Linked DNA regions of Tamandua tetradactyla. The protein of the gene in region 2 interacts with the protein of the main gene of each other region in a pairwise test. Links are inferred from orthologs where the notes say so. Each region holds a gene or a part of one and is shown on either strand. Other genes may lie near its edges.

Region 1 (11,187 bases), on a different chromosome or scaffold from region 2:
TCTATTTAAGTCTATTTTGTCCAATGTTAGTACAGCTGCTCTAGCTTTCTTCTGATTACAACTTGCATGGAAAATCTTTTTACATCCTTTCACTTTCAATCTATTTGTATCCTTGTGTCTAAGATGAGTCTCTTATATATTAAACAGCATATAGCTTGATTATGTTTCTTAATCCATTCTGCCAATCTGTATCTTTTAATTGGCTGGTTTAGTCCATTAACATTCAAAGTTATTACTGAAAAGGTATTTCTTGAATCCACCATCTTAACTTTTTAATTTTATTTGTTAGATCTATATAATCTCTTCTCTCTTTCTTTTTATCCTTTAAATTACCCTTACTTGTACTCTTCAATTCTGTGGCCTCCTCCAGAACTCCCTCTCCTGTCTTGCTTTTTTTCAGCCAGGAGAACTCTTTTAGTATTTCATGTAGGGCCAGTCTCTTATTGACAAATTCTTTCAGGACTTGTTTTTCTGTGAAAACATTAATCTCTCCATCAGTTTTGAAGGACAGTTTGGCTGGGTACAGAATTCTTGGTTGGAAATCTTTCTCTTTCAGGATCTTAAAAATATCATACCACTGCCTTCTCACCTCCAGGGTGCTAGTTGAGTAGTCTGAAGTCAGTCTTACGTGGTTTCCTTTATATGTAGCAGATTGTTTTACTCTTGCCAGTTTCAGAATTTTCTGCTTCTTTTCAACATTTGACAGAGTGATTAGTATGTGCCTTGGGGAAAGTCTATTTGGATTTATTCTGCTTGAAGCTCACTGGGCTTCTTTGACTTGTATGTTTATGTCCTTTATAAGGGTTGGGAAGTTTTCCCCTATTAAATCCTCAACTGCTTTTCCTAGCCCTTTACTCCTCTCTTCTCCTTCTGGGACACCAATGATTCTTATATTTGTGTGCTTTGTTTTGTCTATAATTTTCCTGAGATCCAAGTAAAAATTTTCCATCTTTTTTGCTATTTGCTGTTTTGTGTCTTCGAAGTCAGTTATGCTGTCCTCTATATCGGTTATTTTTTTTCTGTCTCTTCAAATTTGGTGTTGTGTGCCTCTAGTATGTTTTTTATTTGGTCAACAGAGTCTTTAATCTCTGTGATATCCATTATTTTTCTATCCATTATTGTTCTTTCAAATTTCTCTTTATGCTCTTCTACTATCTTCTTGATCTCCTTTATGTCATTTGTTATCCCACTTATTTCATTAAGTAGAAATGTATGAATATCTTTGATTAGTTGTTCCAATGTCTGTGTCTCCTGTGGTGTTTTAATTTGGTCATTAGGCAGGGCTATATCTGTCTGCAGTGTGATATGCTTAGTAATCTTCTGTTGTTTTGTTGCACTGATCTTGACCGATTTACTTTGGAAGTTGATTTCTTTCAGTAGTCTAAAGCTTGTATTCGTGGGATAGATATGCAACAGGGAGCAGGGTATGGGGCGGGGCACAAGAGTGTGGTAATTTGTTTCAGAGCAAGTGTAGGTTCAGGTTGGGGATGTGATGCTGATGCTTGTGAATGTGGGTGCCCAGTGGCCAGGGAGGATGTGGCTGTGCAGGTGCACTCATCTGGGGGACGTAACCCTGGTGTGTGTTGGTTTAAGGCACAGAGCCCTTTCTGCGCATGTGTAGAGTTGTGACAGCAGGTTGGTGTTATGCCTTTGTTGGTTGGGGGCAGATGTGATCCAGTAGTGCAGGTCAGCACATTCTCAGAGCTGGGAAATGTGACTTCTCTAAGTTTTCCATGGAGCAGGGCTGATCTTAAGCTACTCTAGTCTGCCATCTTCCTGGAAGTCTCCTCTTTACCAATTTTTATACTGCAGGTCTACTAGCTACAAATTTAGATTTCATTTGCAGACAATTATTTCTTTCACCTCTTTTTTTTCAAGAACATTTTCATTGGTTATAGAATTATGACTTAACATTTAAAAACTTTTTCATCATTTAAAGGTGTCTTTCCATTGTTTTCAAGCTCCTGTTTCTGATGAGAAATCAGTGATCACACTTATCCTTGTTTCAGTGTAGGAAATGTGTTTTTTTCTCTGGCTGCTGCAAGTCTTTCTCATCTTTGATTTTTAACAGCTTGACTATGATATATCTACATCTGCTTCTCTTTATATTTATCTTGTTTAGGATTTGCCAAGTTTCTTGGCTAAGTCAATATTGTTCCTAAATCAGGGGAAATTTTATCATTATTTCTTCAAATAGTTTTTTTCTGCCCCAATCCTACTCTTGTCTCTCTTTCTGAAGCAACAAATACATGCATATCAAACTGTTACTGCCTCACAGGTTTTTGAAGTCTCTGTTCACTTTTCTTTCATTTTTCTTCTCTTTTTTCTTCAGATTGCATAATTTCTGTTAATCTGACAAGTTCACTGATTTTTTTTCCTGCTTAGACCAATAAGATATTAAGCTTATCAGTGACCTTTTCATCTCAGTTTTGGTAATTTTCAGTCATAGAGTTTTGATTTAGATACAATTTTTATTTCTCTCCTGAGATTCCCTATCTCTTCATTCATTAAGACTATGTTTATCCTTTAATTCTTTCAACATATTTTTGTTCAATTCCATGAACATTTTTTATCATAACTGATTTTAAAATCTTCATTTGCTAAATTCAACATCTGAACCACCTTGGGTTGGTTACTATTGACTGCTTTTGTCATTGGCCATGGATCGCATTTTCCAGCTTCTTTGTTTGTTTAGTGACTTTTGATTAAATATTATACATTTGGAATAATGTTGTAGAGGTTCTGAATTTGGTTACCTTCCTCTGAAGAGTGTTAATTCTTGTTTTAGCAAGTAGTTCAGTTACCAGCTGATCACCTTGAACTTGCGTAGGCTTATTTTTTTGTTTTTGTTTTTTGCATGGGCATGGGAATTGAACCCGGGTCTCCAGCCTGGCAGGCGAGAACTCCGCCTGCTGAGCCACCATGGCCTGCCCTGTGTAGGCTTATTTTAATACTTTGTTAATAGGATCTGTGGATACTCCAAGTAGAAAATTCCTACTTTTGAAAATAAAGTTTTACTGGAACATAGCCAAGCCCATTCATTTCCATATAGTGCATAGCAGCTTTTGTGTTACAATGACAGGATTGAAGAGTTAAAATAGAGGCCATATGGCCTATAAAGCCAAAAATATTCCTGCTCTAGAGCACAGTTCTTTCACCTAAAACAAGGTCTTTCTGGTTTCTCAGCTGTATTCCAGGCGCATTAATTAAATGTTGTTAAGACCTTTATTCTTTTGTGGTCAAGGTCCAAAGCCTCTGGACACTGCCATTCCCCCAGCATTCCAAGTTATCTGTTAATTTTTAAAACCACAGTAGCCGTTATATGGTAAGTCCCAGATGATCTCCTCTTGCTCATTTCCAGTCCAGTCCTCAGTCATGGCCTTGTCCTCGAGGAACTCCCATATAGACTTTTGACCTGTCTTCTCTGCATAGCTCCCTCTTTGCTGATGCCTTGCCCTGCAGATTCCAACTGTTTAAGTTGCCCAGAACTGTTCTCTGTCTCTTCAGCTTAACTGCCAAGCCATGCTTGGCCTTCAGTGCTCTGTGATATGGCTGGAAAATTGTCCGCTAGTAGAGCATTGGATGGTTGTTGGTTTTATCTTGTATTTTTCTCCTTCAGGAGTAACAATCTTGGGCTGCTTGTTGTCCACTGCTTATAATCAGTTCCTTTAAATATTTTCACCTAGTTTTATGTTGTTTACAGTAGAAGGACTAGTCTGGTACCAGTTACTCCATCATGAATAGAAGCATAAATCTCTCCAGTTCTTTTTAAATCCTCATCACCCTCTTAACAAGTGATACCTTCCAGAGTCTGTGGCTTAACTTTTCATTTTTCCTTCAACTCCCAGATGGATGTGTCCTCTCTTTTTCAGAGAGGTCAGTTGTCTAAGGAATCTGCCAGTAATTTTCTATTTTCTCTCCTAGGGACATCTGTAGTTCACAGCAAAACAAATGCAGTAACACCTCCTGAATGCAATGACACAGAGCCCTTTCAGACTTTAATAACTAGCTCTACCCACTGCCTTTTGTTCCCTAGGATGACTCAGTACAATGTATATACCCTTCATGACTGTGAATTTTTAAAATTACACTTCACAAGAATAATCATGTTACATTAATATTAGTTCACATTTCCATCTTTGTAAAAAGAGTAGTCGGTTGCAGGTTCAAGTACAAAATAATCAACAATACAATTAATTCTCATCATGAAAAAGAAAAGAAAGGGAAAGCCAACCTCCATTTACAGAGGGACAAGGATGATGTGCCAGGTAATCTGTGATGCATTTTTACACATATAGTATCATTTCTCACTGCAACCTTAAGGAATGGGTATTACTATCACCAGGCTTTGAGAGACAAAATAACTTGCTCCTGCTCACATGCCTGGGCAGTGGTGAAGTCCAGAAATCAGATTGGTTGTTTGGCTTCAGAACTCTTTTCCACACACCAGACCATCTTACCGAAAAGGGAAGAACTGTTCCTTCCCCTTACTCATATGCACAATTTATAAGACTGCATACTTGCTGATTTACTTAGCATTTTAAATCTGTCCTTGATTTAAACTTATTTTACTTGGCATAAAAATGTTGGGGATGGGAAAAGAGTGCAGTTTCCCCAGACTGAAATTAGCCTGTCTGCATTTACAAGGGCAAACCAAGAATGAGATAGTAGGAGGGCTAGTCTAAGAAACAAAATTTTTGCTCATCCTTCTATTAACTTTAATAACATTTATAAGAACTAACAATAAGTAACTTCTGTCTGCCCTGTGCTAAAGATTGCAAACATAAAAATTAATCTCCTCAGCAACTTGGGAGGTATCTACTCTTGTTATGCCCCATTTTACAGATTAAATCAATACAGTTTGGGGAGGTTACATAATTTCTAGCAGATGGTAAATAGTAGAAACATGGAATCTGTCCCAGACTGCAAGATTTAGAGTCTGTGCTTTCAATCACTGCCTTATACTCATTTCCAGCTGTGTCCATCTAAAACATTTTTATTCCACAATCCTGGAACTCTGAGAATTATAAATAATTCCAAACAGACTTCGTCTCTTTACCCTCCTTGCCCATAACTCTTTTCTGAAGCCTTGGAATAAGCTTCAAACCAGACTTCTATAAAACTCAGGAAAAACATTCCTATTCTGTCAGGACTATAAGAGTTAAGTGTGTGTGTGAGAACAGGGAAGGTGGTTAAATGTTCATTGCTTATGTGATTACGGTAATAAATGTCCTGAAGATGTGAGTACACCCTCAATTTAATTTTATCTTTTGTGGCTGGCAGAGGCAAGTGATTTTCCTATAGCGTAAAATCTTCATGTATTTTGGAAGAAGACCTACTAATTTCTCAAGAACAAAGATAAGGCAACCTCAGCTAATAGATTATTCTTTACTGCTACAGTTACAAAGTAAATAATTCAACCTGTCTGGGATGTGTGCAAAAACCCTTGGGAAAAATCCAAAGTTAGTTGTGAAAATTTGAAAAGAAAAGCAGAAAAATAAATAGTTTCCTGGAACAGAAAGAAGAGCTTTAAACATTAGAGGGGCGCCTAAAGAGAGGACAAATGATTCCATCTCCCTCCGTCTACTCTGTTCCTGGTGGGAGAAAACCGGTGCGAGGGCTTGGGAGCCCGGGCGATGGGAGCAATTAGTTAGAAGTGAGAAAATGGAGAAATAGTTAGGCAGGGAGACTGGATATGCGTCTTTGGCGGTTGCGCAGGCTGCATTCCTTTCTCACGCGCCGGTGGCTCTGCTAATTTCGTTCTCTTTCAAATCAGGCAGAACTCCTTCATTGAAGGATCCGGCTAAGCTCGCAAAGATGGGCAGTTTCTGATAGAGATCAGCAAGCGTCACCTGTGAATCTCAGAAGGGAAAGTGTTAACCCAGACCCCTCCTCAGGAAGGTCAGTCACTCCAGTCCTTAGGCCTGGGCCAGACCTTAGGAACGAGGGCCTGTAAGGGCCTATGGGAACAAGGTCCTATAGGAAGGGCTCCTTTCCACCCCCTCTCGCACGCCTCCATTCTGCCGTGGGAAGCTGCCAACCAGAGTAGAAAGGCCACAAAGTTCCTTAAAAGAACGGTTCCTTAAACCGCTAATGGGTAAGAGGTTGAGTAAGGGACCGCTGCGTGTGTCCTGGGTGGGGGGAGGTGAAGCGGAGAAGCGGGGGCTGGGTGCCAACCAGCAGCATTCCCGGCGGGTTGCTGCGGCGTTTTGCACAAACAGCACACGTTTCTCACGGAGTCGCTGGCGCCTGCTGCAGTGACCGAGGACCGTGGTGTAGGGTGAGAACAGAAAGGAGAAGGGTGGCCTAAAGAAGAGAAAAGGGAAAGGGACTAGGAGCCCTAAAAAGCCGATAACGGGCAGAGATTGAGAAATCCCAGAAAAAAAAAGACAATAGGGACTATGCTTTGGGCAAACCACGCAGAGGAGGAATTAGATGGGAAAGAGAACAGTAGCCCAGGCAGTACCTCGATGATAAAAGACAAAAGCTAGAGCAGCAAGGACAGGGTCAGGTTCTCGGAGACCCGGGCCTTGACAAATCTTGTGCCTCTGCATCGCCGTGTATTCAACTCTAAAACCAAGGGATTGCTCCCGAGCAGGAAGTCAGAGCTCCTTTTTGAATTCAACGAATATTACGTGTTCCTTCTCCAGACAAGTGGGGCGCATTTTCAGGGGGCTCCTGTTCGCCCTCAAGTGCGCCAGCTGGTATAGAGGCGCGGCCCTGGACCCTGGCTGGGACTCTTAGCAACCCTGTGCGGGAAGGAAAGGGGGGCGCTCGCGCTAGGGAGGGGGCGCTGCGCCGAGGCGGCCCGGCAGATAGCTGAGCCGCCTGGGGGCCGCAGCTCCGGCAAGAAATGACTCAGCGTCCTCCGGCTGCAGGAAACCGGAGCGGAGAGAGAAGGCCCCGCCCGGCTCCGCATCCTGCCCCGCAGAGGCGGCTCTTGTCCCGAGCCTCAGCTCCCAGCGTGTGGTGTTTTGGGATATTGTCCCCATACCCTAAGTCTCTTTTGACCAAAGGGATATTCCCTTTTTCTCTCTGGTCCGGCACACCGCCGGCCCAGGTGCAGCTTCCCGGGTGATTCGCACAGCGCCCCTGGGGTTGTGCGGGTTCAGGGTACCGCTTGCTGGCCTGCCTTACCCTGCAGCACCCCGCATTTCCAGGTTTCAGGGGGCAGAAAGTGCAGCTGCCCCTCCTGTTCGCGGGATTGCCCTTCACCCTTCCGCAGTGCTCGCTGAGCTCGCTCTCCCGACCTTCCTCCTGGTCTCATTTATTTTTTTCTTCCCCGCTTCTTTCTCCGGAATAGTTGGGGTAGCATTGAACTCTGAGAACGCTGCAGCGGCATCTTCCCCAGAGCCTGGGCAGGGGGAGAAGGAAAGAAGGCAAGCTCGGATAGCCAACTCAGGCTGACAACACCGGGGGAGGGGGGACAGGATGGAAGAGGTCGTGTAAAACAAAGTTTTCCGCCGAACAGCGCGATTGTCTTGACGTGGACTCTCAGCCTGCAAACTGAGGGCGACGCCCTTGGGTCCTTTCCGCGACCCTCTCACCCATCTCGCCGGTAGAGGCGCTGTAGGAGCGGCAAAGCCCTCTACCCAGGAGGGGACTATGCAATGACCATTCTTTCAATAAGAGGGGGAGTTTGGCTTTTTAGAAAGGCTGTTGTGCAAAGCACAGATCATTAATTGCACGGCTGTACCAGCTCAGGGAAAAGGGAACCCGAAAAACTTTTCCCAAAGAAAGGACGTGGAGATATTTAGTTGACTGTCTCTCTGACTGCCACTTGGTTGTCACACTGAAAACCTGCCCAGTTAATAGAAAATATTACACATAAGCAATATATTTATATATTTTGTTTATGATATATATATATATATAGGCCACTTCCTTTCTTCTAAATTATGCTGGTTTCTAGCTCAATCTGCTGAAGTATTTATCCCCAGGGCCTGCCCTTGCTGCAGCCAAAATTTTATAGAAAAGTCTATTAAATCCTTTCCTATGCAGATCTAGTCCCCTTGATTCCCTGTTGGCTTGTCTTCTAATACTTTATATTGCCTCCTTCATCCTGCTCCCAGCAGAGAAAGGGTGACTCATTAATTCATTCATTTATTCCTCCTTATATGCATCAGGCATTGCCCTTTGCAACCAATATATCAGGGTCCTTTTTAATATAGACATTTGCATCTTTCCTTCTCTGTTACAAACGTGGACATTCTTTTCATTCCTTTTTGCCTTGAATTGTTTAATCGTAGCCTCTTTGTTTCCTGTGTCATTATGAAAGGGTTGTCTAATGACAAGGCAGAACTATAAACTAAATGGGTTTCCGTGACAAAGCAGAATCTCAGTGCTTGAGAGACTTTTAATGAGACATAACTTTGGCTTCTGGCGAGACCTGCTGATGAGGATGAGATAATGTCTCTGGCAGAATGGATGAACTTGGGATATAACCTGTTAATAGCCAGACAACCTGAAATCTTTTTGCAAAACGTCCCTGGGCCAATACTCAGGCACCTTGGTGCCTTGCTTTCTCCTATTGCAGTTCTGATCAAAAGATATGCTATTTGAAGACAGCACAGTCAAGTCACAAATTTGACCTACCAGAGCATATACAATTTAGAACCAGAAAACTGTGTCACTGGCAGAAATATATCATGTGCCAATGTTACACTACATTGACAAAGGTCTGCAGTAAGGACTTCCTGTTCCAGTATCCCTTCTGATAGCTTGAAATATGCCTGAACCACCTGCCCTTGGAAAACTGGCCCAATTGTCTTCTTTCTCTAATAAGAAACCGATATCCAGGGAAGTTTAGTGCCTTGTTCAACTGTAGAATTCAGTACTCCCAACTCTCTGTGCAGTACTTTTTTCTGCCATTCACTGCTTCCTTTGTCAATAATGGCCTGGGATACCCTTTTATAAAATATGTATACTTTTGGGAGGATTAGTGTACTAAAGCATTGCTCTCTCAATGTGAATTCTTTAATTATTAGAGGTTAATAAGTGAATCATCTGGAAATGCAGTGAAGTAAGGAAGGAGTGTGTAAAGAAGTGGGTGGAGAGGAAACTGCTACAGCAAGGACTCTTGGGAATCCAGTTGTCATGTGGGGCAGTTGGGGCTAGCAGGTGGGCTGAGACACTGGACAGCAAGAGGGGTGTGGGAAATGCTGTCTGGCCTAATGTGCATTGTGGCTGGAAAACAGACACACAGCTCTCCTTCTTCCAGGTCTGGGTATCGCTCAAACAATTGCTTTACACATGCTGAGATTATTTATTGTTTATCATCCTTTAGCCACTTAGTCTCACTCCTTGCTGCTGCAGAGTGGTGAGGAAGTGGGAAATTATTATACAGTGGGGAGCTGCACACTTAAGAAAGCACCTGTATCTCTCAATTCAAACTAAGTGTCCGGCATTTTAATCCATCTAAGAGCTTTCTTCTCAAATGAGCTGCCTGAAGGGGGTTGCTCGTCAGGTTTAAGGAAGTATGCTAAAGGGAGAAGCACGGCCAAGAAAAACTGCAGCAGCATATATGAGATTTGGCAGGAGGGAGCCAGCAGGGCAGCTGCAGTGGACACGGAAAATGATATTTGGGTTCCAGGTTTAAATACAGTGCTATTTTTTTCCTTAGTAATTTACCTAGTCCTCAGGGTACTCTTATATTGTTTCAATAAGTCAGTGTTATCAGCAATAATGTTATGCTTCTGTCAGCCAAGAAGCTTTATGGAATCAAAGAGAGACTAGCAGGTGCAAACACATAATATAAGATATATGGGGACCCTGATCACAGCTTAGTTTTTCTTTTTTAATAATAAACCTAAAGACGGCATGCCAATATTTCTTATAAATTTAACTCATAGGCATCACTCATCCAGTCCTCTTGGGTCTTGTAATGTCACTCCTCTGGCTAAAGGAATACATTTGCCCCTGAAAGTCTTAAACTTTACCATAATTCTGTGGCTATAATGCATAGGTTATATTATAGGAGAGAGGAAAATGCATAAATCTTCAACTTTAGTGTACATTACAATGAGACATTAAGGTTGTTCAGATTTGTTTTTGCCTAAAGATGCAGTTAAATATAAAAGCAATTTGAAGATTTTCTGTTTCCAAACATAGAATGAACACCTCAAAATACTCAATCATGAAAGTTTCCAGAAAGAACATTACATTAAGGAATGAAATTAGGCAGCACAAGGAAGCCCAAAGAAGAAGAGGTATTCAAATAATAAAGTCTTTTTTCTATATACTTTCATTTAAATAAAAATGCCACATTTAAAGAATGAAAATTAAGTAAAGAAGATTTTAATTAAGGAGTTTGAGTATCCTAACTATTAGTTAAGAGGGAAGTAAAAAATCATTTAATTAAGGTAGATATTGGTTTTCGCTTCCCTTTTAATTCTCATCAAATTGCCAATTTGGTTCTAGTATATCCTAAAAAAAAAACATTATATTTTGTTTAAGGCAGTTCAAAGCAAACTTATGAAGTCTTTAGATTTTTTTTTTGCTCTCCCTGGCTCCTCCACTCAGCCTTTCTCTTGCTCCTCACTCCCTCAAACTCTCTTTCTGTCACCCAGCCAGACTTTTTCTCAGGAAAGAATCCACTATTTTTCACACCTTAGTGAGAACATATATCAAAATATAAATTCTACCAGGGGTAGAGACATCTTAAAAATTCTATCTAAATTTGAATTCCAGAATATAAACAATTCTGAATCATAAGAGGAGATACGGAAAGTATTTAGGAAGCAAAAATTCCTTCTGGAACATCTTGGAAATAATCATGCTAAGAAGCAGCTCATAGAATGAGGGCAAATTATTGAGGTATGGTCTCATCTGAGGATATTACATGGACCTGTTATATATTCCTCTAGGCTGCACAGCTGCCTTTGTATAGCTGTTAAGAGTATGGACCCTGGAGCCATACTTGGCTGATAGAGTCCCCACTCTGTCATTTACTAGTTGCTTGAATTTGGGCAAGACTAATTTTTCTGTACAGACTCGAATAGATATTTGCACACTAATATTCATAGTGGGATTATTCACAATTGTCAAAAGATGGAAGCAACCCAAGTGCCCATCAGTCAGTGAATGGATAAATAAAAAGTGAAATATGCATACAATGGAATATTACTTAGCCATAAAAAGGAATGAAGTCCTGATACATGTGACAGCATGGATGAACCTAGAAAACAG
Region 2 (10,694 bases):
GGCTTCCGATAGTTTTCCCTCCATGTAGAAATTATGTCTGCTCAAGGTAAAGAACTCGAATGAAAGTCTGGATCAGTGAGTATGAGTTAAGGGTGGTGGGATTTGGTTTCTATGACATTTGTGCAAGAAAAAAGCAATCAAGTTAAAAGCATAAGCCACCTAGAATTCACAGCAGATGGGGAGCAATGGATGGGGACGTGGAAGCAAAGTGGGAAGGACAGGAAGAGAGCATGTCTTGGCATAGAACAAAGGAGATGGAACAACTGAGAAATGAGAAGTCGAGCTCCGGGTGAGAAGGGTGCAGAGGCGGCTTCGGGAAGGTCTGTGGGACGGTGAGTCAGAGGGGAGGAGGGGAGGAGAGGGGGCAGGGTTAGCTCCTGGGTGAGCTTCTCCCATAGCCATTCTTGCTAAACCTTTTTATTACCTGGAGCTTGAGTACGTATCTGCTCAGCGTTTTCATTCCTCTCATTTTTTAGAATACGGGAAATTATAGAGAAGTAAAAAAGTCTCATTTGCTTTTAAACTTGGAATGCCAGGAGGGAGGGAATCTCTGCAAATTCTCCCTCTCGTCATTAAGGGGTTTTAGGGGAGTCCAGGAAGCACTGCTGAGTCCAGCCTTCCTGGTAGATGCAGAAAGGAGGCCACGATCTAGATATTTTTAAGTGAGATAGTTTTACTGGGGAGAGAGATGCCTCAATTCCCCACAGGGTGCCCTGGAAATGGGAGAACTGTTTCCTTCTCCAGCTAATAACACGAAGGCTGGAACAGAAAGAGGAGAGGAGAGGAGAGAAAGGTACCATTGTTAAAATGTCTTTGAGCACCTATTGCCTGCAGGAGAAATTCACAGTCTAGCCCAGGGCCCTCATAGAGGACACCCCCCCTCCCCCACCCAGGGCCCTCCGAGAGGACACCCCGCCCCCACACCTTCCTGCCCCCTGAGGGGTGTGGCCTCCTGAAGGCTAGCACTGGTGAGCCCTGCCCCAGGCCCCTAACACGCCCTTTATTTGTCTCAGCCCATTGCATCCTCCCCGCTGTGCTCCTGGAGGGAGATCTGTCCCCATTTCAGGGGGCAGGAGAAGCTCGGAGGTTAAGCCATGTGCCCAAGTCCCGTGACTGGTGAGGGGTGGACCTGGGACTCAAACCCACACTTGCAGTTATCGGCACAGAACCACACTCTTCACCTCCCCGCAACCCTTCCAGTTCTTTCTGTAATGCTCATGACAACTGTTTCAGGGGTTTTGGAAGACTTGAATGAAAAACAGCAGCTGAGTCAGGATTACTTAATAATACGCAAGTCAACCCCAGAAGGTTGTTCTTGAACTTCAAGAAAATGTCTGCTGGCTTTCGCAATGTGACTGTGTGGTTGTGAAAACCTTGTGACTGATGCTTCTTTTATCTACCTTATGGATAGATGAGTAAAACATTTGGATTAAAAATAAGTAAATAATAGGGGAAACATGTTAAAATAAATTTAGTAGATTGAAATGCTAGTGATCAATGAAAGGGAGGGGTAAGGGGTATGGTATGCACGAATTTTTTTCTGTTTTCTTACTTTTTTTCTGAATTGATGCAAACGTTCTAAGAAATGATTATGATGATGAATATACAACTATATGATGTGAATTACTGATTATATATGTAGAATGGAATGATCATGTGGTAAGAATGTTTGTATGTTGGTATGTTTAATAAATAAAATAAATTAAAAAAATAAAATAAAATGGCTACTACCCAGAAGAGAGAAAGAGTGCATGCCTAGAAGAGAGGAGGGGTTAGAAGAGAGAAAAAGTGCAGGTTTAGAACAGAGAAGGGATTAGAACAGAGAAGAGGGTGCAGATTTAGATAAGAGAAAGGGTATGTGCTTAGAACTGCCGGAGGGCGCTCTTTACTGCCCACATCGAGTTTATTTGCTTTCCAGAGCCTTATCATTCCTGTTGATAAGAACTGCCATCAGTTTACATGGGAAAAAAGTCTGTTCTGATCAATTGAATTCACCTTTGTGCTTTCCCTCTGAATTCTACATGCTCTATTTCTTTAGTCTACAAAAACCTATACGCCCACCAGGCACTGCCCACTTTCCCGGTGATCAAGTCAGGAAAGGGCTGTGCCCTCACGGGGCTGGTGGACTGAGTGGCGTGACAATCCAGTGTGTGGAGTGTCGCCGGGGTGGGGGTGGGGCATGAGCCCAGAGGAGCCCACCTGACCATGCTGGGGAAGGGCAAGGAAGGCGGCCTCTGATCTTGAAGGACTTTTGAAGGTCAAGCAGGAACCAGCCGAGGTGTGGTGGAGGCAGTTGAGGGTGGGGTGACGGACAGAGAGGCCTTCCGGGCAGGGAGACCAGCATTTGCAAAGGCCTAGAGGTGCTAGAATGTCAAGTTAGATGCTTAAAACTGGAAAATCAAATACATCTTATCTGTGCTTTGCCCTTGGGTGACTATCAAAATCAGATCAGCCTCAAACTGGCTTTTCGTGCCCCCTCTTGGTTTCCCTCTGTACTCTTGGCCCTTGACTGCCTCTCTGAAGGATGTTAAGGGCTTTCAAGACTTTTGAACACGAAGGTGGTGCGGCCCAACCGGAAGGCGTGGATTTGCAGTGCTCTCGCCACTGCCTTTTTGTCTGGACCTCCCTGGGACGGCCATACCCCGGCCATGCCCCAGCAGGGAGGGCCAGGCCCCAGGGCAGGCCTCATTCACGGGCTCAGGCGCCTACCCTAGGGATTTTCAGCTGTCTGTGAAATCCTCAGCTTCCCCAGTGGTCAGGTGAGAGCCCGCAGCCTGCCCATCTGTGAAGTTCCGGGGGAGGGGGGGGTAGAAATGACCTTGGAGTCGGCGTGTAGTCCCTGCTGATGCTGTGCATTCTTAAAAAAAAAAAAATCCCATAGTTACGAAACAATTAGTTCTTATATTTCAAGCCAGCGATGTGTTAGTGAGAATTCAGAAAATGCTTCCTCCTAAGGTCTCCGTTTTCTATTCCTTTCCCTGTTGCTTCGATTTCAATAAACCCTTAAATCTATACACATGTGGCAGTAATATATGTGCGTACACATAGGCCTATTGGATTCCTATCTCAGTTCTATCACTAAATTAGTGAATTGATGTCTCCAAGACTCAGTTTCTTCTCCTTTAAAGTGGGCAGGTGGTGGTGCCCACCTCCTCGGGTGTTCAGGGTTAAAGGGGAGCTTGCTTATAAGAGCTCAGTGCCAGGCCTGGCCCAGCATTAGCTCTACATAAATGGCAGCTATTATGTGCATAGAAAAAAAAAAAGACTTCACTAAAATGTTGGCAGCATTTGTCTCTAGTGGGTGGGATTATGGCTACAATGAACATCTATTACTTTTGTAATCAGGGAAAGGGAACAAGAAATGTTATTATGAATTAAAAACCTGGCTTCGGCTTTGTTGGAAGGAACCTGCAGTTGATGTCAGTGCACCAGCCCTCGAGGTCTGCAGTTTTATACCAGGACTTTAAAGACAGCTTCCCTCCCCACAGCCAAATCAGAGGGACTATAATAAACGAAGACACTCGGTCAGAAATCTAGAGGTGCCTCATCCTCGTCCAACCTTGTAGTCCCCTGACCACGGTTGTCCGCAGGGCAGGCAGGGGGAATCATAGGTGCGAACTCCAAATAAGGCCCTCAATCCACTCGGAAAGCTCTTGGGGTTCTTAGCTGGAAATCTCCAACTCCCCAGGGAATGATTCCAGGAGCGTGACCTTTACTATGTGTTGGACTTTCCCTCGGACGTCTTGGTTAGAAAATCAAACATTGATTTTCCGTGGAGGGCCTGGGTGTGGCGAGGCCCAGCAGCTGGGGGTCCTGAAGCCCAGGCTCTCGGCTCCATCTCTGCTCCAGATTCTTGACTGCCAGCCCAGCACCCCAGCAGCAGCAGGAGACGGAGCCCACCTGCGCCACGCACCCTCTCTGGCCCTGTCCTGACTCTCTCTGGACCACCTTCTGTCCACCCTCCTCAGATTATCTGCAGAGCCATCAGCCCGCAACCAGCTGGCTTCAGAGTTGCTTTTATCCCTCTCCTTCCGCATCCTGGAGAGAGAATATTGCCGCTGCTCTGGAATAAAATGCTGCCTCTGTTCAGGAGACAAAGAACAGAGTGGCTCCTCAGGTCAGCTGCCTTTCCTGACTGGATGGCCCCCTGGTCTCCCCATCCACCCCATAAGAACGGCTCACCCACAGGGCTAGGCTGGAGCCCCTGTCCGTTCCCTGGGCTGCTGCTTGCTGAACATGAGGCTTTGAGGAATATTTCACTTTAAAAAGCAAACAAACAACCCAAACAGCTTCCCTGCTCTGGAAGACGTAAATCTGCTGGGGAGGGAGGGTGCCACGGCTGGGGAGGCAGCCTGTCCTGAGTGTTCTAGGGTGAGTGACACTATTAGGTGAAAGTGTGTGTGAGGACATGTGAAGCCCATGCGTGTGCACCAGAATGTGAGTGGACACATTCATTAGAGTGAGCACTGTGCAAAAGCATGTGTAAGTACTAATAGAAGTGCATGTGAGTGAACTAACCAGGGTGTGTGAGAATGCATGCAAAAGTTTGCCCTAGGTTTAAAAGAATGTGTGTATTAGAGTATGAAAAGCCATGTACTAGAGCTTGGAGAGAACACGTGTGTACACATGTGAGTATGCAAAAGCAGATGCATGTACTAAATTGAGTGTATGAGCATGTGTGTGAAGCATGCGAGAGCACTGGAAAGTGTGCACGTGTGCTACAGTGTGAATCCATGTGTATGATAATGTGAGAACATGTGGGAGTGGGGTAAGTGTGAATGTGTGTATTGGACTATGAAGAGAGCACAAGAGGGACAGCATGTAAGCACACGTGAAAGTGCATGTGTGGCAATCAACCAGAGTGTGTAAAAGTTTTCTATTAGGGTTTGAAAATGTGTGTACCCAAGTGTAAGAATATGTGAAAGCATGTGGAATACCAGTAAGAAGATGTGAAAGCATGTGGTATTAACTAGTGTGTGAATCTATGAGAACATGTGAATGTGTTCTTGTGTGTCTACTAAATGAGTGTGAGAACATGTGAAGGAGTGTGGATAGAGTATAAGAAAAAGTGTACTGAGTGCAAGAACATGTGTGAGAAAAAATGTGAGCATGTGTGTAAGCTTTTGTGTGTGCTAACCAGAGTGTGAGAGCCGGGGTGGGAATGCATGTGTGCTATAGTGTGTGAGAGCCTGGGTGTAACAGTGTGAACACGTGTGATGGGGTGTATCCACCAGAGGGTGAGCACGCAAGTGAGCACTAGCGTGTGCAAGGGGCAGTAAGGCGGGAGAGACCCAAGTGGGCAGGTCTGGTCGAAGCACGTGAGGGTGCAGGGGGGCGGCCCTGCGTGTGAATTCGTGTGAGTGTGCGAGGGTGCGCCTTCGCCGGCGCGTGCCGGTGAGTGTGCGCGCGCCGCTAACCCGTGGCGGTGTGGGGGGGGTCGGAGCCGGTTGCCATGGGAACGCGCCGCGGCCGGAGCTAATCATTTCCTGTGGAAAGTGAGCGGGCGGGGCGGGAGCAGGGGCGGGCCCAGGAGGCGGCGGCCTGGAGCTGCCTCTGTCGGCGGGCCGGGCCGGGCCGAGCCCCGGGCGCTGCGGCTACGACGACCGAATCCTGCCTTCGCCAGGCGGGTGAGTCGGGGGCGTCGGCGTGCTGGGTCCCGGCTGGGGCCGGGCTGAGGCGGTCTGGTGCCGCTCGGGGATCCGCGTGCGGGCCGGCCCTGTCCGCGGGACCCCCGTGCCGGGTTCAGCTGCGGGGACGCGGGGAGGGCCCGGCCCGGGAGACCCAGCTCTGTGCCCTCCCCCGCCGTTCAGCCCGAGCGCGACCACCTTGCCCCGAACTGGGCATGGGGGCGGCACGTCCCCTGGCGTCAGAATAGCTCCGAACCCCCGTTCCAGTCACATCAGCCCTGGGGAACCGCGACCCTACCCGGGAGTCGGGTGTCAGTGCCGGGTCCTCCCACCGCCGGGGTCCCTTGAAAGCTGCAGTTTCGGACCCACCCACCGCCTCCGGGCAGCTGGCTCTCCCCGTAGCGGGGCCGGGTGCGGGGTGGGCCAGCTCCCGTTAGGCAGGGCTTGGGCAGGTGACCTCCTGGGCAGTCGGGACTTGGACCGTTGCCAGCCGCAGACCGGGGATCCCAGCAGGAAGGACGAGCCCAAAAGCCACTCCTTTCACCCCCCACTGCCAGTTAGAGCAGAACTCAGGCGCAGAGCAGGGCCTGGTCCTGGGAGATTGGATTTTAAAGAGGATACTGCCTTTAAGTTTTCAAGGGCTTCTTCCCCCTGCCCCAACACATCTGTTTCTAGGTTGGAGGTTGGGGCCTCCAATTCCCCAGCTTTCCTTCTGCCTGAGGCTGGGTGAGCACCCATCCTTGACCCAGTGGAACCCTATGCCCTTGATAAAATAGCCATCTCCTTGGCCAGGGGAGAGTCATTCACCAGGAATGCAGCCTCAGAATGGAGCCCTGTATTTGCAGTGTGGTCATTAGGGATGCAGGGTGATGAGTTCTGCTGTTCTTATGGGCACTTGGGAGTAAAGGATTGGAAATTCAGGTTTCCCTGGAAAATCCAGGATGTGGAATTGTGTGTGTGCATCTGAGGTCTTGACCCCTATACAACCTCCCTGACCTTTGCCTGCTCCGCCAGGGGCCTTCATCGCTCCCCAGCAACAGTGCCCAAACAGTTGTCAAATCTGTTCCCCAATTACAGAAATGTCCCTGGTCTTTGGGGGAGTAAGAGTGGGGGTGGGGACAGAGCTGTAGCTCTATTGCCTTGTCCTAAACCGGGAGAGACAGCTACCCCTCTCTCCAGCCGGCCCCTGGGCACTCACCCACCACTGGAAGGAGTACATAGTCAAATAAAACATGTGAGCTCTTGGTAAGCGCCAGTATTGTTCTGAATACTTGATATATGCATTAGCTGACCTTGTCCCCAACCCTATCAGGTGGAGTCCTCCCCATTTTACAGATGGAGAGAATGAGGCACAGAGAGCCAAGTAACCCAAGGTCTCATCATCTAGTAATTGGCAGAGCCAGGTCCTGAACCAGCTTCTGGTCAGAACTACTCCTCCCTGAGGTACCCCCCACTCCCACCCCATGAACCCTAGGTTCGTAGCGGCCTTGGGATGCCAGGCTGGGGATCAAACACCGTGCAAGTGTGGGGAGGGGGGCAGGTCTTTCTGGACCGAGAACCTGGGGTTTATTTGCTATTCCTTGATAATCTTGTTCCTTCACGCACCTCTGGCTGCTAAATTTAGCTGCTTTTTCCTCTTTGGGCTCTTGTACACACCCTTCCTCTTTCTTCCTGGCTGCCTCCCCAACATCCTTCCTTGAAAGCCACAGAAATATCGTCTCCTGTGTTGCTGCCCCTCAGACCTAGCTGAGCTCCTTTAAAGTCTCTCCCCCAACCATGGAGTTGAGGGTCAGTGCCCTGTGCTGCCTCTCCATTCCCGCAGCTCCACCTGCAGGTGCAGCCACCACTCTCCCTTCTTGCCCGTTGTGCAGCTGGCCTGCGGGGTGTACTCAGCTCTGTGCCATGCAGCCTGGGCAGAGGACGTTGGTGGCTGTCCTTGGTTTTTTGCACACCACACTTGTCTATCTCGATTTCTACAGTGGAGCCAGCCCAAATATTTGGATTGGCCTCCATCCACCCTTTGGCCCACATTCCTGCCCCCTGCCAGTAAGATTGCACCCAGGAGCTGCCTCCTCTTAGTTGCCTTTCTCAGTCAAGGGAGGAAGAGGAGCCTGGCCTTCCTCCAAGGCTCAACATCAGATACCAAGTCTGTGTGCCTCCCAGCTTGGTTCAAGGCTCTCACACATCTTTCCCTCTCAGTGCTTTGATCATTCCTGCCCCTTCTCTCTACCCAAATGCTAACTCTGCCCTATTCTGGACACCACATCTACTCTCTTCACTCTCTCCTTCCCATCCTAGCCAAACTTCCCTAAAGAGAAGGAAGTGGCTTCTTCCTCTAGCCCCCACCCCACTGCTTAAGCCTTCCCGAGTCTGCCCTCTGCTCTGCCCCACTGACACGCTCTCTTAAAGGACCCTCGGGTATTCTGCCTGTTTCAGTTTCTTTCCAGCTTGGTGCCTCTGTGACATCGTTCACTGGGAACTCACCATCCTTGCCTTCTGGCTCTCTCTCCCGTCAGTTCTGAGAACTCTGCACTTGGCTGGCACTCCTGCCACCTCTCTGACCTTCCTTCTTTTAGTTTTATTCCCTTCCCACCCTGGGATTGAGCTCTGTTGTCTCCCACCTGCCTCTCCCTTGCCATGGCACCAGGGGCCATCTTTTGCCTCCCAGCCTCAGTCTCAGTCTCAGCCCTTGATTTCTCTTCTGAGCTTCAATCTGATGTTTGTGTGCATTCGTTTCAGGGCACTCGCCATAAAAGCCATCACAGAGTGCTTGGTGTGAACGTGGCTCAAGCTCCAAAGATGGATGTGTGGTAGACCCTGTCCTCAGGGGGCCAGAGCCGTAGTCAGGGAGGTGTGGTAGCTCCACTAGGAAGTTTTGGGCACCTTAAACTCAATTTTAAAACCAAAAGCAAACTCCTTGTCTCCATCTCCAAGCTGATTTCTCTTCTGTAAATGGCATCACCATTTGTCCAAGTCTGGGTTTGTAGCTTGGTAACTTTAAATGCCTTATAGTCTGCCTGGCATATACTAGGTGCTCAATAAAGACTGTGCAGTAAAGGCTTGAACTCTATTCCAATCATTTACTCAGTTCATGAGGGACCTATGGGCTTTCTTTCTCCAACCAGTGCTTCTCCCAAGGCTCATTTTCCCACAATACCTGTTACCTACCTCTAGCCTCACCTGTATCCTGTTCGGATTATGAAGGTTCACTGGAGTGTTTCTTTCCCTCCTGACCATAAGCTTTCAGTCCTTGTCTCTCCAGATCAAAGAGGACCTCTGGCAAGTGCCTGGCACATAGAAGTGACTCAATAAATAATTATCAAATGAAAACTGAATGAATCCTTGTATCTCAAACCTGTACTTGCCACGTTGTGTGCACAGGGTGAAGGCTAGCTGAATACATGAATGAATGAGCAGACTTTTATGAGAATTTAATATACACAAACCTAACTGAGTAATGGGACAGATGGAAATGTCACTGGCCATGACAGCCAGTGCCCTTTCTGAGGCTTTGCTCAGTGAAATTTTAATATGCAGAGTAGTAGCTGGGTTGGTTGACAGGCCTGGGACAGAGAAGCTTGAAGTTTCAGGGGTTCAGCACTCTCCTAAATACAATCAGAAAATAAGGTATCTTGGGGGAAAAGGATTAGATTAACAGAGATGCTGTCAACTCTTCCTTCCTTCATGTGACCCCTGTGTCTTCAATAGAAGGACTCAGACTGGGCATTTCCACCATCAGGTGACCAACTCCTTAACCCCCTACTCAATTTAACACCCCGGAAATGGAGACAGCCCCTGTTTCATCCTTGCGCCTCGGGTCCTTGGGGAACATTGGCGTTTGGGCAGCGGCTCTGGCTAACAGGTGGTCCTTCCAGGGTGCCAGCCTGCACTCCGGGATGCCGGCCAGCGGTAGTCATGCCCTTCCCTACTTTCTTCTCTCCGCAGGGCCCCCGGCGCCCGAAGGAGCCCGCTGAGCCGCGGGCCATGGTCCCGTCCCGCAGGACGTGGAACCTGGGAGCCACGCCCTCGCTGCGGGGCCTGTGGCGAGTGGGCGGGGCCCGGGAGCCCGCGCCAAGGATGGCTCGCCCCGCCCCCGCCAGCCCAGCCGCCCGCCCTTTCCCACACACCGGCCCAGGGAGGTTGAGAACTGGTGAGTCCGCATTTTTAAAATGCCTTTTTATTTCCTTTCCTTCCTCCAGATACCAGGGATGAGACTGAGGTTTCTGGCCGGTTCCTAAACTCAGCCAGAGCTGTCAGGTAATTACAGGGTGCTAGCCCGCAGCCGAGAGCCCGGGCGTGGAGGCCGAGCGTCAGGCTCTCCGGGCGCGCCTGCCCCGCGCCCCTGCCTGGGAAGAGAGGTCTCGGAACCCGAGTTAATCTTGAACGCAGCCTGTGGGGCAGAGGGGGAAGCCCCGCACACAGGCGCGTTCTCTGACGGGCCAGGGGCCCAGCCTGTAGGCGCTCTCACGTCCCCAACTGCGGGGCTCGCGGTGGCGCTGGGGCTTCTGCCCGCAGCTGTAAACAAGGTAGGTGGAGTGCTGCGAGCCCTTGGCGGCTCTGACACTTGATCCCGCTTGGGCTGGTCAGTGGATGGTGCGAGGAGTGGACGGAGGCGGCTGGGGAGCCTGGTCCGGCGGGGTTGGGGTGCCATGCGCTCCGGGTTAGGTGCCTGCCGGGGCTGCCTTTGTAGAGGCCTCCACGGCAGGTGGGCAGTGAAGGGGTCCCGGAGGCTGGTCTCCTGCTGCCTCCCCCGGGAACTCTCCTTGCCAGCTCCCCTTTCTGGGTCATGTCTCCCTGTGCGGGAAACATCAGGATGTAAGAAACTCCTCTGATTTCAAGAAAGGATTGTCTGGACTGAGGAGCTGCCGATGACCCTACCCTGCTTTTGAGCCCTGGCTTGGGCAGGTGTCCGTGGACATGGGGAGATGGGGTGGAGAAAGGGGTCTCCAGCCAAGACACTTTTGGCAGTTTGCTGTCTATTGGCTTCTGACCCACTGGGAAAGGGGTTAGTTTTCTAGGCAGTCCAAGCTGGCAGAGTCCCTCTGGGCCATCAGGTCCCAAGCCCTT
Region 3 (10,877 bases), on a different chromosome or scaffold from region 2:
TGGTAAAGTTGGTAGACTGTTGATGGATGCACAATTTTGTGAATATAAGAAAAACAATCAAATTATAACCTTTTAAATGGCGAATTTTATTATGTTCATTATATCTTAATTTTTAAAAATACATATTTGATGCCACAAACAAAATATTTGCATAGTCTCAAAGAATCTCCCTCAAAATATTCAGTAATTACAAAGGGAAAAATGTTTACATAGGATAATCCTTGCAGATATCACCTTAGCCAAGTGATTAAGGCCAACATCACCAATAATACATAATAATATCATGCATACACTGATATGATGTTCTGAGAAGGGGACATAACCGTTGTGGTATCCTTCCCAACAATGTAAAACCTCAATCTAATCATGAGAAAATATCAGACAAACCCAAACTAAGAATGGTATACAAAATAACTTTCCAGTACTCTACGGAACTGCCAAGGTCACAAAAGACTGAGGAAAATGTCAGAGATTGGAGGAGAATACAGAGACATGACAATTAAATATCCTGTGGGATCATGGATTGGATACTGGAACAGGAAAAAAGTTAGTGGAAAAAACTTGTGAAATTCTAATTCATTTGATTGGATTGGATACTGGAACAGGAAAAAAGTTAGTGGAAAAAACTGGTGAAATTCTAATTCGTTTGATTTTAGTAAACAATATTGGACTAAGGTTAATTTCTTAGTTTGATAAATGCTCGATTGTTGTAAAAGATATTAACATAACGGGAGGGAGGGTGAACGTATATGGGCGCTCTCCGTACTACTGTGCGACTCTTCTGTTAAGTATAGAATTATCTCAAAAGTAACTGTTAAGAAATTCTTTGTGAAATGAAAATATTTAATAGAAGGGGTGGGAGATAAAATTTAGAAAATTTCCAAGAAATTAGTACAAAATCTTAGACTTGCAGGCCAAGACTCTTATCTATGATATGACAAAAGCCTCTCTTCACTTGGAAAAGGATGACCTTATAAACTAAAGCATGGTGTCAGAAAGCCTTAGTCATTTTATTTCAAAAGGACATTTAATACAAGGAAAGACAACAAAAGAATGAAGTATTCTATAAAAAATGTTATATATTGCAGTTTGTCCTAAGAAAATTTATACTGGGCATTTATGACTCTGCTTGACTATATTGTACACACCACCTCATGTTCTAATTCCTCACATCAAACTAAAATCTGCCAAAGAGATCATTTAATCCAGTGGTTATCAAAGTGCAATTCCAGACTAGCAGCATCAATGTCTCTAGGACGTGCAAATTCTATTCCCTACCACAAAACTTCTGAAATCAGAAACTCTAGGGTTGGGACCCAGCAGTCATGTTTTGACAAGCCCTCCAGGCAACTCTGATAAAGGTTAAAATTTGACAACTACGATCTAACCCAATCTTCTCATTGTAAAGGTAATTTGCCTAAAGGCACACAGTCTCTTAGAAGTTGAATGCAGAGATCCCAACTTCCAAGTGTCCACGTGTATGACTCACCCAGTGCTCTCCCACCATAGGTCCTTTCTCACCTCTGGGACAATAAAGCATAAATCTAATTCCTAATTCATAACAACAACGCTTCAATTATCATACCTTCCTCTCTCTACCATCACTTTTTATTCCCCTAGTTCCATCAACCTGCTGTCATGTGCTATGGTCTCAATTTGGCTTAAGTAAAATTTGTCACTGAACAGAGCACAACACTCCAGAAAGGTAGTAGAAGCCAAAGGAATGAGATACCTAGTTCCATAAACTGATTCAAGCTATTATTTTATACAGAACTGATAAGTGTTTCATCTGTCTCTGTATTTGAAAGGAACTATTACTGAATACATCAATGCAATTAATGATGGTTTTCCTACCCTTCCATGAAGGCTCACTCAAATGTCACATGTCCCACAAGTTGACTTCTTCTAATATACGGGTAATGTAAAGGTAAAATAAGTAAAATGCCATAATTGAGGACAGACCATGGTGGCTCAGTGAAAGAGTTCTCCCCTGCCATGCCAGAAACCTGGGCTCAATTCCCAGTGCGTGCCCATGACAAAAAAAAAAAGCTATAATTGAATGTGTAAACCCAAAACCATATGCAATAACCTGAGAGGGAAGCAGAGTGAAGACTGAAAGTCAATCTCTCTTCAACACATCAAAACCAAGAGAAAAATTAACCCAAGGAACTAACTGGTTAAATATTTTTAAAATAATAAAATTTCAATTCAATCCATTAGATGACAAAATAATTTGTTTGGCCAAGAGAGACCCTTGATAACCTTAACTTCTCAGAACCTCAAATTTCAAAACAATAAGAAAAATTAAAACAAACAACTAATTAAATTCTTACCAGGCCTGGTGTGGTATCTCCATCACTGTCTCGATCCTGACAGCTTTCCACATCAACACTGAGAAACACTGCATCTGAAGTGCTCGGCAGTAACTTGTTATTTTCAGTATGAACATCTAAGGATGATTTTTGCAGAGTGGATTCTGCCTCGGAAGTGGTTTCCATATTTGGAGTTAAAATCCCTCTGCAAATTTTCTTTATTTCAGTCTTCTTACACAGCACTACTTCCTTGTTAGAATTCTTTTCTAATAGGGATTTAGAGTACTTAAATTGGTCTAGTTTGTAATTACAGAGTGAAAAGGGGATAAGACAAAACTTAACTGATTTTCCTAAAACTGGAGACTGAATTGGTCTCAGAGATACAGAAGTGATGGTTTCATTTTCTTTATATTCATTCACCTATTCAGGTCAGTAAAGGAAAAACAGTATTAGAAACTCAGGTCTTACGCTTTTTCTTACAAGGTCCCCAATAGATCTGTAAAAATAAATCTAATTCCTATATCTTAATCACAATATAAATCCAAAGTGATAAGCTGTAAGAAAAACTTTTCTTCCCCTTCAAAATCGATACCTAATTCATTTAACTGAATGTAATTATTATACTAGCCCATTTCTTGCATATATGAGTTTGTCAGAGCAATAATTAGGACTACAATTTTTAACTGACAAGACTATCCCAACTGTCAGCTTCTGAAACTTTAGAATTGTTTACTGTGACGCTGACAATAACTACAAATGCAAACGCAGGGGGCAGGAGAAAAGGAGTGCCTAATCCGATGTGTGCCGCTATCTCTGAGGTTATTGACAAGAACTTTTCTCAACACTGAAGGCCTAGTTTTCCACAGAGAAAAAACATAGCAGGGAATCTCGCTTATCTTTTGAAGCAACACCCCCCAAAAAAGCCCAGCAATCTGCACCCAGGGCGGGGAATAATTTAAGAGCGCAGAAGTACCCTGGGCCATATACCCGTGCTTTCGGGCCTGTGCCGGGAAGATTGCCTCAAGAATACTGAAGGAGAAGAACACCAGAAGGTGTCAACCCGATTCTCACCCTTACCTGGGGTCGCTGCCTGGAGCCCACCTCCTCCCCAGACGCCGCGCAGGACCCGGACATGTTTCGGACACGTTTTGGCTCTCAGCAGCTGGCGCCTTCCCGCCAACAGATCGGCGGGAGGCGGCGGTGGGAGGGGCCTGGCCGTGAGGGGCGGAGCCCGGCGGGTGCGAGAAGCCGCCCCGCGCCCCCCCCCAGGCGCTTCCAGGCTCAGGTGTCAGCTGGCCGGGCGGGGAGGACTGTGATCAGCATTGACGAAGGCAGGTTTACCTGCCTCACCCTAAGATTAAAATGCTTTAAGGATGCGGTGGGACCTAATCGGCAGTTTTACCTTGAATGCCGGTGATTTTAATTCTGGTATTGCCGGGTTCTCGCTTTGAAAAAGTAGCTCATTTGCCTTGGAGATGTAGCCTGGGAAAGACTGAGAAGCACCTAGATTGGGTGTGCAATGTAGGGAAGGTACAACAAAATCAACATGCAGCCTATACCTTGGCCCACTGGCTCCTTATTACCCCATCACCAACTTAACCTACTGCTACTGCAGGATCTTCTCCCTACGAAGGGAAGCATTTTGATTTTTTTCAAGGGCTGATAACTGATTTAAAATTCATATTTGACTATCTTCCTACCGGTTAACCATGACCCTAATGATGACTTTAAATGGCCCAGAGGCTGGAAAGAAGGAGTTACAAATCAAATAATTTGTGTATCAAACTATAAGTTGCAGGGGTGCAAGAGTAGTTCAAAGGTAGAATTCTCGCATGCCATGCGAGAGACCCGGTTGATTCTGGCCCATGCACTTCCCAAAAACAAACAAGCAAGTAAGCAAACAAACAAACAAAAAACCAACCAACCAACCAAATTCAAGAAATGGTGCTGCAATAATGGATGCTCACACACATATATATATATATACACACAAATTACAAGATTTTAGTGCACTGTATTTCTAGTCATATCCATATTAAAACTTTTTTCTATATTTTGAGTTACTATGAGCCAAAACAATTGCCTTCCCATCAGATTTACTCCCTCTTGATACCATAATTTTTTGAGTTGATAAATCCATTAATAGAAAATTGTCTTTAAGGCCCTTTTCATCCTAGCCCCAAATTGCTCCCTTGATTGGTTACTTTGGCCACCCAATGTCCTTTGCCCAATTTCAATTCTTCTTCCAGACTAAGCTAAGTTTTAGAACACAGATGAAATAATTTGAGAATTAATCATATTAAAGCATCTTTCAAGTCTCTCCATGATCTGATACTCACACAACTTTCACCACTCTCATATTAAAAAGTTACTAGCAGATAAACCCAAACTTCATGGTATCCCACAGGTACCCTGTAATTTTTCTCTTTCCCGCCACATTATTTCCTTTGTCCCCTAAAATGTGTTCTGACTTCCAATTAGCCATTTTTTAATACAACGTAGCTAGTAAATTGGGGCGGTTTCTATTATGATTCTAGATGTCCTTGAAAACTTTCAAATTAGAATCCAAGCAACATAAGGATGCCAGTCTTTTAATATTACATACTCCTTACGAACAGCTAAGCCTGGTGAACACAGTTAGTATTCAATCATTACTTATTGGCTGTTAATCTACAAACACTTTCCTGCAAAAAAAAAAAAAAAGTATTCTAATAGTCGTCCTCCAGAAACTGAAAGAACCTGAAAAGCCTAAAATGGAGTGCTGGAATTTCAGGTATTTTCCTAGGCGCTTCGGGATTTTTTTTTTTCCTTGCAACTGGCCAAAACCACCACCACCTGCTAGCGTGTGACCTAAATACCATACCTCAGGCCACCACAGCCTCATTAACTAAGCTAATTAAGATGCCATTATTAGCAGGATTACTATCCGGACCCAATTCTAATCCTTCTGAAATTTCAACAATCAGGACAAGCAACCCCTCACTATCTCCTCAATTTCTCCTTCATCACTACACCATTACCCTCGGCTTCAAACCAAGATAACAAGCGAAACTTTTGATTCGGACCTTCTTCGTCGCAAAGCCTAAAGGAAGCAATTTCCCGCCAGAAGCGGCTTCCAAATCCTGCAATATTGAAGACGCGAAGTCAGTCTATGAACATGCGCAGTAACAGATTCGCCCTCCTAGGCACAGGCGCCCAGGCGTCCTCCAATATCCCACAATCCTCTGGTCACATATTTCCGGTTTGTCTAGCCCAGACGCAAGTGGAGTTTCCCTCAGTCTTGCACCCGCGTCCGGTGGACCTAGGGGGAAGTTTTTTTCTTGTTGGTTGACGTTGTCGTGTTCACTGTTTAGAATCAGTTAGGTTCTGGGAGTCACCGCCGCTGCCATCAACATGTCGGTCCCAAGCGCACTCATGAAACAACCGCCCATTCAGTCTACGGCTGGAGCCGTTCCAGTTCGCAATGAGAAAGGTACTGTGCTGAGCCTCTTTGCAGTGGGATCTTACCTGTTTCTGCCCCAGCATCTTCCCAACCCATCCCCCGAGCCGACCACCCCAACCCTGCCGACACGTCCTCCAGTTTCTTCGACCTTCCCACCTTAAACTCGCACCTGATCGCATTGTCTGGGGAGATGGAGTATTGGGGGGAGGGGGGGCAAAACCACTTGTATCTGAGCTTGTTTTTATGGCCTGCCTGCTTTTACGTAAAGCACCTCTCTTCCCTTGGCCTCCATCGATTCATAGACTAATGTATACTGAATGCCTGCAGTTCCTTTTTTATCCCACATGGTAGCTTGTTAATGTTGTTATTATAACTTATCAAAGATATTTATGCGCCTGTTTCCCCTTTGCTAGATCATAATTTTATAAGCTCCTTGAGGCAGGAACCATGTCTTATTCAGCTTTACATCCCTTTCAACGAATGCAGTGGCTGTGCTTATTAAATTGAATATAAAGTGGTGTGGGGCAGTGCCTATAACCTTCAAGAACTCATATTCTAGTAGACGTAAGACATGCAAAAAGAGGCACATTCTAAGCAGTGTACAGTCTTGTGGTTCCTGTCCAATAGGTATAAACCAAGTGCTGTGGAACAGCCAGTTTTTTCAGTAAGGAAGTTGGAAAATATTATCAGTTCTTTCTTTTTTGCTTTATAAGTATACTATACCTACCCCTGTGCCGCTTGCCTTTCTTTTTAAATAACATGACTTTTGAGAATTATCCTTCCAGTACACATAGATTTAATTAATTTTAACTGCTTATGAATTACATGACAACTAAACTATAGCTTACAAATTACAAACAGTGCTACAGTCATCATTCTTAAATGTGTGAATGAGAATTTCTCTAGGGTAGACTCCTGGAGTTCATCATCAACTTTACTACCTATTGCTAAATTGATCTCCAAAATGGGTTACAAGGGAAAAAGAGTTTTTATTTCCCCATGTAGTCATCCATACACTTAGTTGTATCAGATTTTTAAATTTATGTTTAATAGTTGTGAAATGGTAGTACAATACTTTAATTTGCATTTCCCTGATTACAGGTGAGACTGGGCATTTTGCTTGTGTATTTTTCAGCTCTCTGGGTTTTATCTTCTGTGAATTACATGTTTTTTTCATTTGCCCATTTTTTGTTTGGTTTTATTTTCATACATTTCAAATCTGTAATGTCTTTTTCCCTCTTTTTTTTTTTTTTGGCTCTTCTTGTAACTTTAATTATGGAGTCTTCTGTTACAGAAATATTTTTAGTTTTAGTGTAATTATATATTTTTTATGGTTTATGCTTTTTGTGCATATTAAGAAATCTTTCCCTACAATGAGATCATAGATATTCAGTCTCTAAACGTTTTCTAACATCTCAGTGTTGTGTGTATAATGATACAAATGAGTTAAGGATCTTACAGTTTAGTAGGGGATGTAAATGTTTTAGATTTTTTCATGTTTGGGTATTTAATTCATCTGAATTTTGTCTTTATGTGATGTTAGGGGTACATAGAGACCAGCAGAACAGAAAGGACAGAAAAGACACGTCTGAGAACTTGCTGTATTGAAGTAGTATTAAAAATTAGTGGGAAATGAAAATAAAATGGGAGAGTTGGAAGGTGGGCCACGGTAACTCAGTAGGTAGAGTTCTCACCTGCCATGCCCAAGACCCGGGTTCCATTCCCGATGCCTGCCCATACCAAAAAAAAAAAAAAAAATCAGTGGGAAATGGATGGGCTATTCAGTCAATGGAGTGGGGACAATTAGCTAACCATATGGTAAAAGGTAAAATTAGATCCCTAACTCATACCACATACAAACAAAATTCCAGATGAATTAAAGACCAAAGTATGAAAAACATCTTAAATATTTACATCCCCTACTAAACTGAAAGATCTTTAACTTAGAGCCTATTTGAATAATTGTGCATATAACACTTATATGTTAGAAAACCTTTATAATCTGAATATATTATTTAAATATTATAACTTTAAATAAGCCTTGCTCTGGTACAGGGAACCTCCACATTATGTGGTACAGAGGACCTTTCATTTGTCTTCAGAACCGTCTTGGCTCTTAGCCTCCCTTTCCATATGATTTTCAAATCAATCTGGGGAATGGAACTACATTAAAAATTGTAAATTTATAGATTAACTCAGGCATGGTCACCGTCTTCTCATGAACATGATGTATTTCTCAATAAAACATTTAATTAGATCTTTCATATCGCTCAGTAAAATTTTTTATTATTCTTCCTAAAACCTTGCATCTCATTTCTTGAGTTTTATTCCTAGGTTCTTTATAGATTAGTTGCTTTTATAAATTATATTTTTAAACTACGTTTTCTAACTATATGAACCAATGTACAGATAAATTCATTTTTATATGTAGGTCTTTTATTCAGCTCTCTGAGCTTGAACTTTCTGGGCTTGTCTATCTTGTATTTTCTACATAGAGAATCATATGGTTGTAAATTATGGCAGTTTCTTTCTTTTTAGTCCTTACACCATTTATCTCTTCCTTTTTCTTCTTGCCCAACTTAGAATCATAATACACTGTCGACTAGAAGGTGTGATAGGAACAAAATAAGAATACCCTCTGTTTTTCTAAGTTTAAACCATCCCCTGTAGTCCTGAGCTAAATCTTAATCTGTCATGATGGCTTGAGGTTTTTGTTTGTTTGTTTTTATATTGCTGGAATAAATTTGCTTTATGTTTTTTAGTATTTTTTGTATCTATGTTCATAAATGAAATCCACCTTATGTTTTCCTTTGAACTATCCTTTTTTTTTCTTTAAAGTTATACTTATGAGTGGTTAGTTTTCCTTCATTATTGGTTATGTTTGTATTTGTAAAAGAGAGATTATCTGCTTTTGCTGGTTTGATAGTGCATGAGCAAAAGGAAAAGAAAGTAAAAATAGATAAGTTTAGAAAATTATATGGTAATATAGTAGAAAGGCTGCCATGGAAAATTCCTGAGAGAACTAAAAGAATGTTTGAAAAGTTACTCTTACTATGTGTCAGGCACTTTTACAAATAATTCGCTTAAGAGTATATTTGAGGTGGAATAGCATGCATTTATGATAGGCACTGTCTGTGTGTTTGGGGAGATTCATTTTTTATTGTTTATCTGCCCACATTCCTTCACTTTATTGCACCCAAGGTGTAGGCCTCATTATCATTAGTGCTGGTATTTACCAGAATGCCTACCTGGGACTTGGTCTTTGTAGGAAAACGCCGTTAGTGAATAGATAGTCTTCTGTTTAGACTCTGGTATAAAAGGAATACACAGCTCCATCTGTAAAAGCCAAGAGTCGAAGGACACTGGAAAAGAGGCTACTGAAACATTAATTATAATCTTTCTCATCCAGGGGAGATTTCCATGGAGAAAGTGAAGGTGAAACGCTATGTATCAGGAAAACGGCCAGACTATGCCCCTATGGAGTCCTCAGATGAGGAGGATGAAGAATTTCAGTTCATTAAGAAAGCCAAAGAACAAGAAGCAGAGCCTGAGGAACAGGAGGAAGATTCATCTAGTGACCCCCGTCTGCGACGTTTGCAAAACCGTATTAGTGAAGATGTGGAAGAGAGGTATTAACTAGGGTTATATTTCCCTGGAACAGGACCTGAACCCTTACAGGTTAATTAATAATCACAACAGTAATAATAGCCAGTACTTGAATCATACTTAGAATGTGCCAGACACTGTTCCAAGTATTAATTTACTAATTTTTTTAATAAGCCAACAACCTTATGAGATGTGGGTACTGTTATCCCCATTTTACAAATGAGGAAACTGAGAGTGCAAAGGGGTTAGGTAAATAATATGACCAAAGTTACACAGCTAATAAATGGCAGCTTCAGAAAATGGCAAGTTACCTCTGGCCCAACGGTCCTAATTAACTCATTAAAGGAATAGAAAACACAGACCATTGGTTGATTTTTGAGGGAAGTTTTTTTTTTTAATATTTTATTGATAAATAACATGCAACACAAACATTCTTAACATACAGACATTCCATACATGGTGTACAATCAGTGGCTCACAGTATCATCACATAGTATACTGATCACTATGATCATTTTTTAGAACATTTGCATCACTCCAGAAAAAGAAATGAAAAGAAAAAAGAAAAAACTCATACATACCATACCTTTTACCCCTTCCTCCCACTGACCACTAATATTTCCATCTACCCAATATATATTAACGTTTATTCCCCTATTTTTTTCTACACCCCTTACCACTCCCTTTCATTAATCACTAGTATTTCAGTCTACTCAATTTGTTTTAACATTTGTTCCCCGTTATTTATTTATTTTTAATCTATATTTTTTATTCATCTGTCCATACTGTAGATAAAAGGAGCATCAGACACAAGGCTTTCACAATCATATAGTTACACTGCAAAAGCTATATCATTGTACATTCATCTTCAAGAAACATTGTTACTGGAATGAGAGGAAATTTTTTAATGCAAAGATTAGTTTTCTAAAGTTTGAAAATTTGATTTTATCCATCTACTTGTTCTAAAGACCAATAAGGGAAAATGAACTAGGAGAAAAGGCCAGATAAATGGTCTCATATAGGAGATTGCACCCCACTGAGAGATTTTGCATGTTGTATATTAGTTAATACATTACCTTACAGATTAGACTTGAGATCCTGAACTTTCACAGTTCGCATTGTCTCAGGAATTTTTTGCAGACCTCCTAAGCCCAGAGAGTCCATTTATTTAACTGTGTGGTTAGATCCAAATAATTTAACAAGTATTTATGTCTTAACATCTTAGCCATTTGAAAAAATATATGCACATAAGAGAAAAAGCATTTATTTCACTCTATAAGTAAGCACAGTTACTTAATAATGGGATTTGTGCATCTGTTGAATACTGACAACTCTTAAACCTTTTAATCAGTTGAACAACACCATTTCCTGTCCCATGTTGATGTTCATGTGATACTTATTCTTTTATCACAACAGTCACAGAAACTCAGTTTCACAAAGATGTCACTGAAAGGAATATAGAGTGATCTGATGTGAACTATCTTGAATTATTTAAAATATCCCAGTGCACTGCTTTG

Evidence for each region.
Region 1: the proteins of KIFC3 (region 2) and NEFL interact in binary tests that used the Homo sapiens proteins (3 or more experiments, as listed by UniProt). The two-hybrid records come from large-scale screens. The link is inferred for Tamandua tetradactyla from reciprocal best matches to the Homo sapiens genes KIFC3 and NEFL.
Region 3: the proteins of KIFC3 (region 2) and MFAP1 interact in binary tests that used the Homo sapiens proteins (3 or more experiments, as listed by UniProt). The two-hybrid records come from large-scale screens. The link is inferred for Tamandua tetradactyla from reciprocal best matches to the Homo sapiens genes KIFC3 and MFAP1.

What each region holds. Positions count from the first base shown.
Region 1 is NC_135329.1:25,880,513-25,891,699, reverse strand, and holds the start of NEFL (neurofilament light polypeptide), read left to right. Parts: upstream 1-5,853; 5' UTR 5,854-5,901; intron 5,902-11,187. UniProt on the Homo sapiens protein: Neurofilaments usually contain three intermediate filament proteins: NEFL, NEFM, and NEFH which are involved in the maintenance of neuronal caliber.
Region 2 is NC_135342.1:51,503,197-51,513,890, reverse strand, and holds the start of KIFC3 (kinesin-like protein KIFC3), read left to right. Parts: upstream 1-5,564; 5' UTR 5,565-5,627; intron 5,628-9,572; 5' UTR 9,573-9,611; coding exon 9,612-9,777; intron 9,778-9,826; exon of another isoform or gene 9,827-9,884; intron 9,885-10,694. UniProt on the Homo sapiens protein: Minus-end microtubule-dependent motor protein. Involved in apically targeted transport. Required for zonula adherens maintenance.
Region 3 is NC_135340.1:58,061,861-58,072,737, reverse strand, and holds the start of MFAP1 (microfibrillar-associated protein 1), read left to right. Parts: upstream 1-5,543; 5' UTR 5,544-5,705; coding exon 5,706-5,784; intron 5,785-9,163; coding exon 9,164-9,383; intron 9,384-10,877. Other genes in the region: WDR76 (WD repeat-containing protein 76), read right to left, coding at 2,334-2,732, 3,390-3,446. UniProt on the Homo sapiens protein: Involved in pre-mRNA splicing as a component of the spliceosome.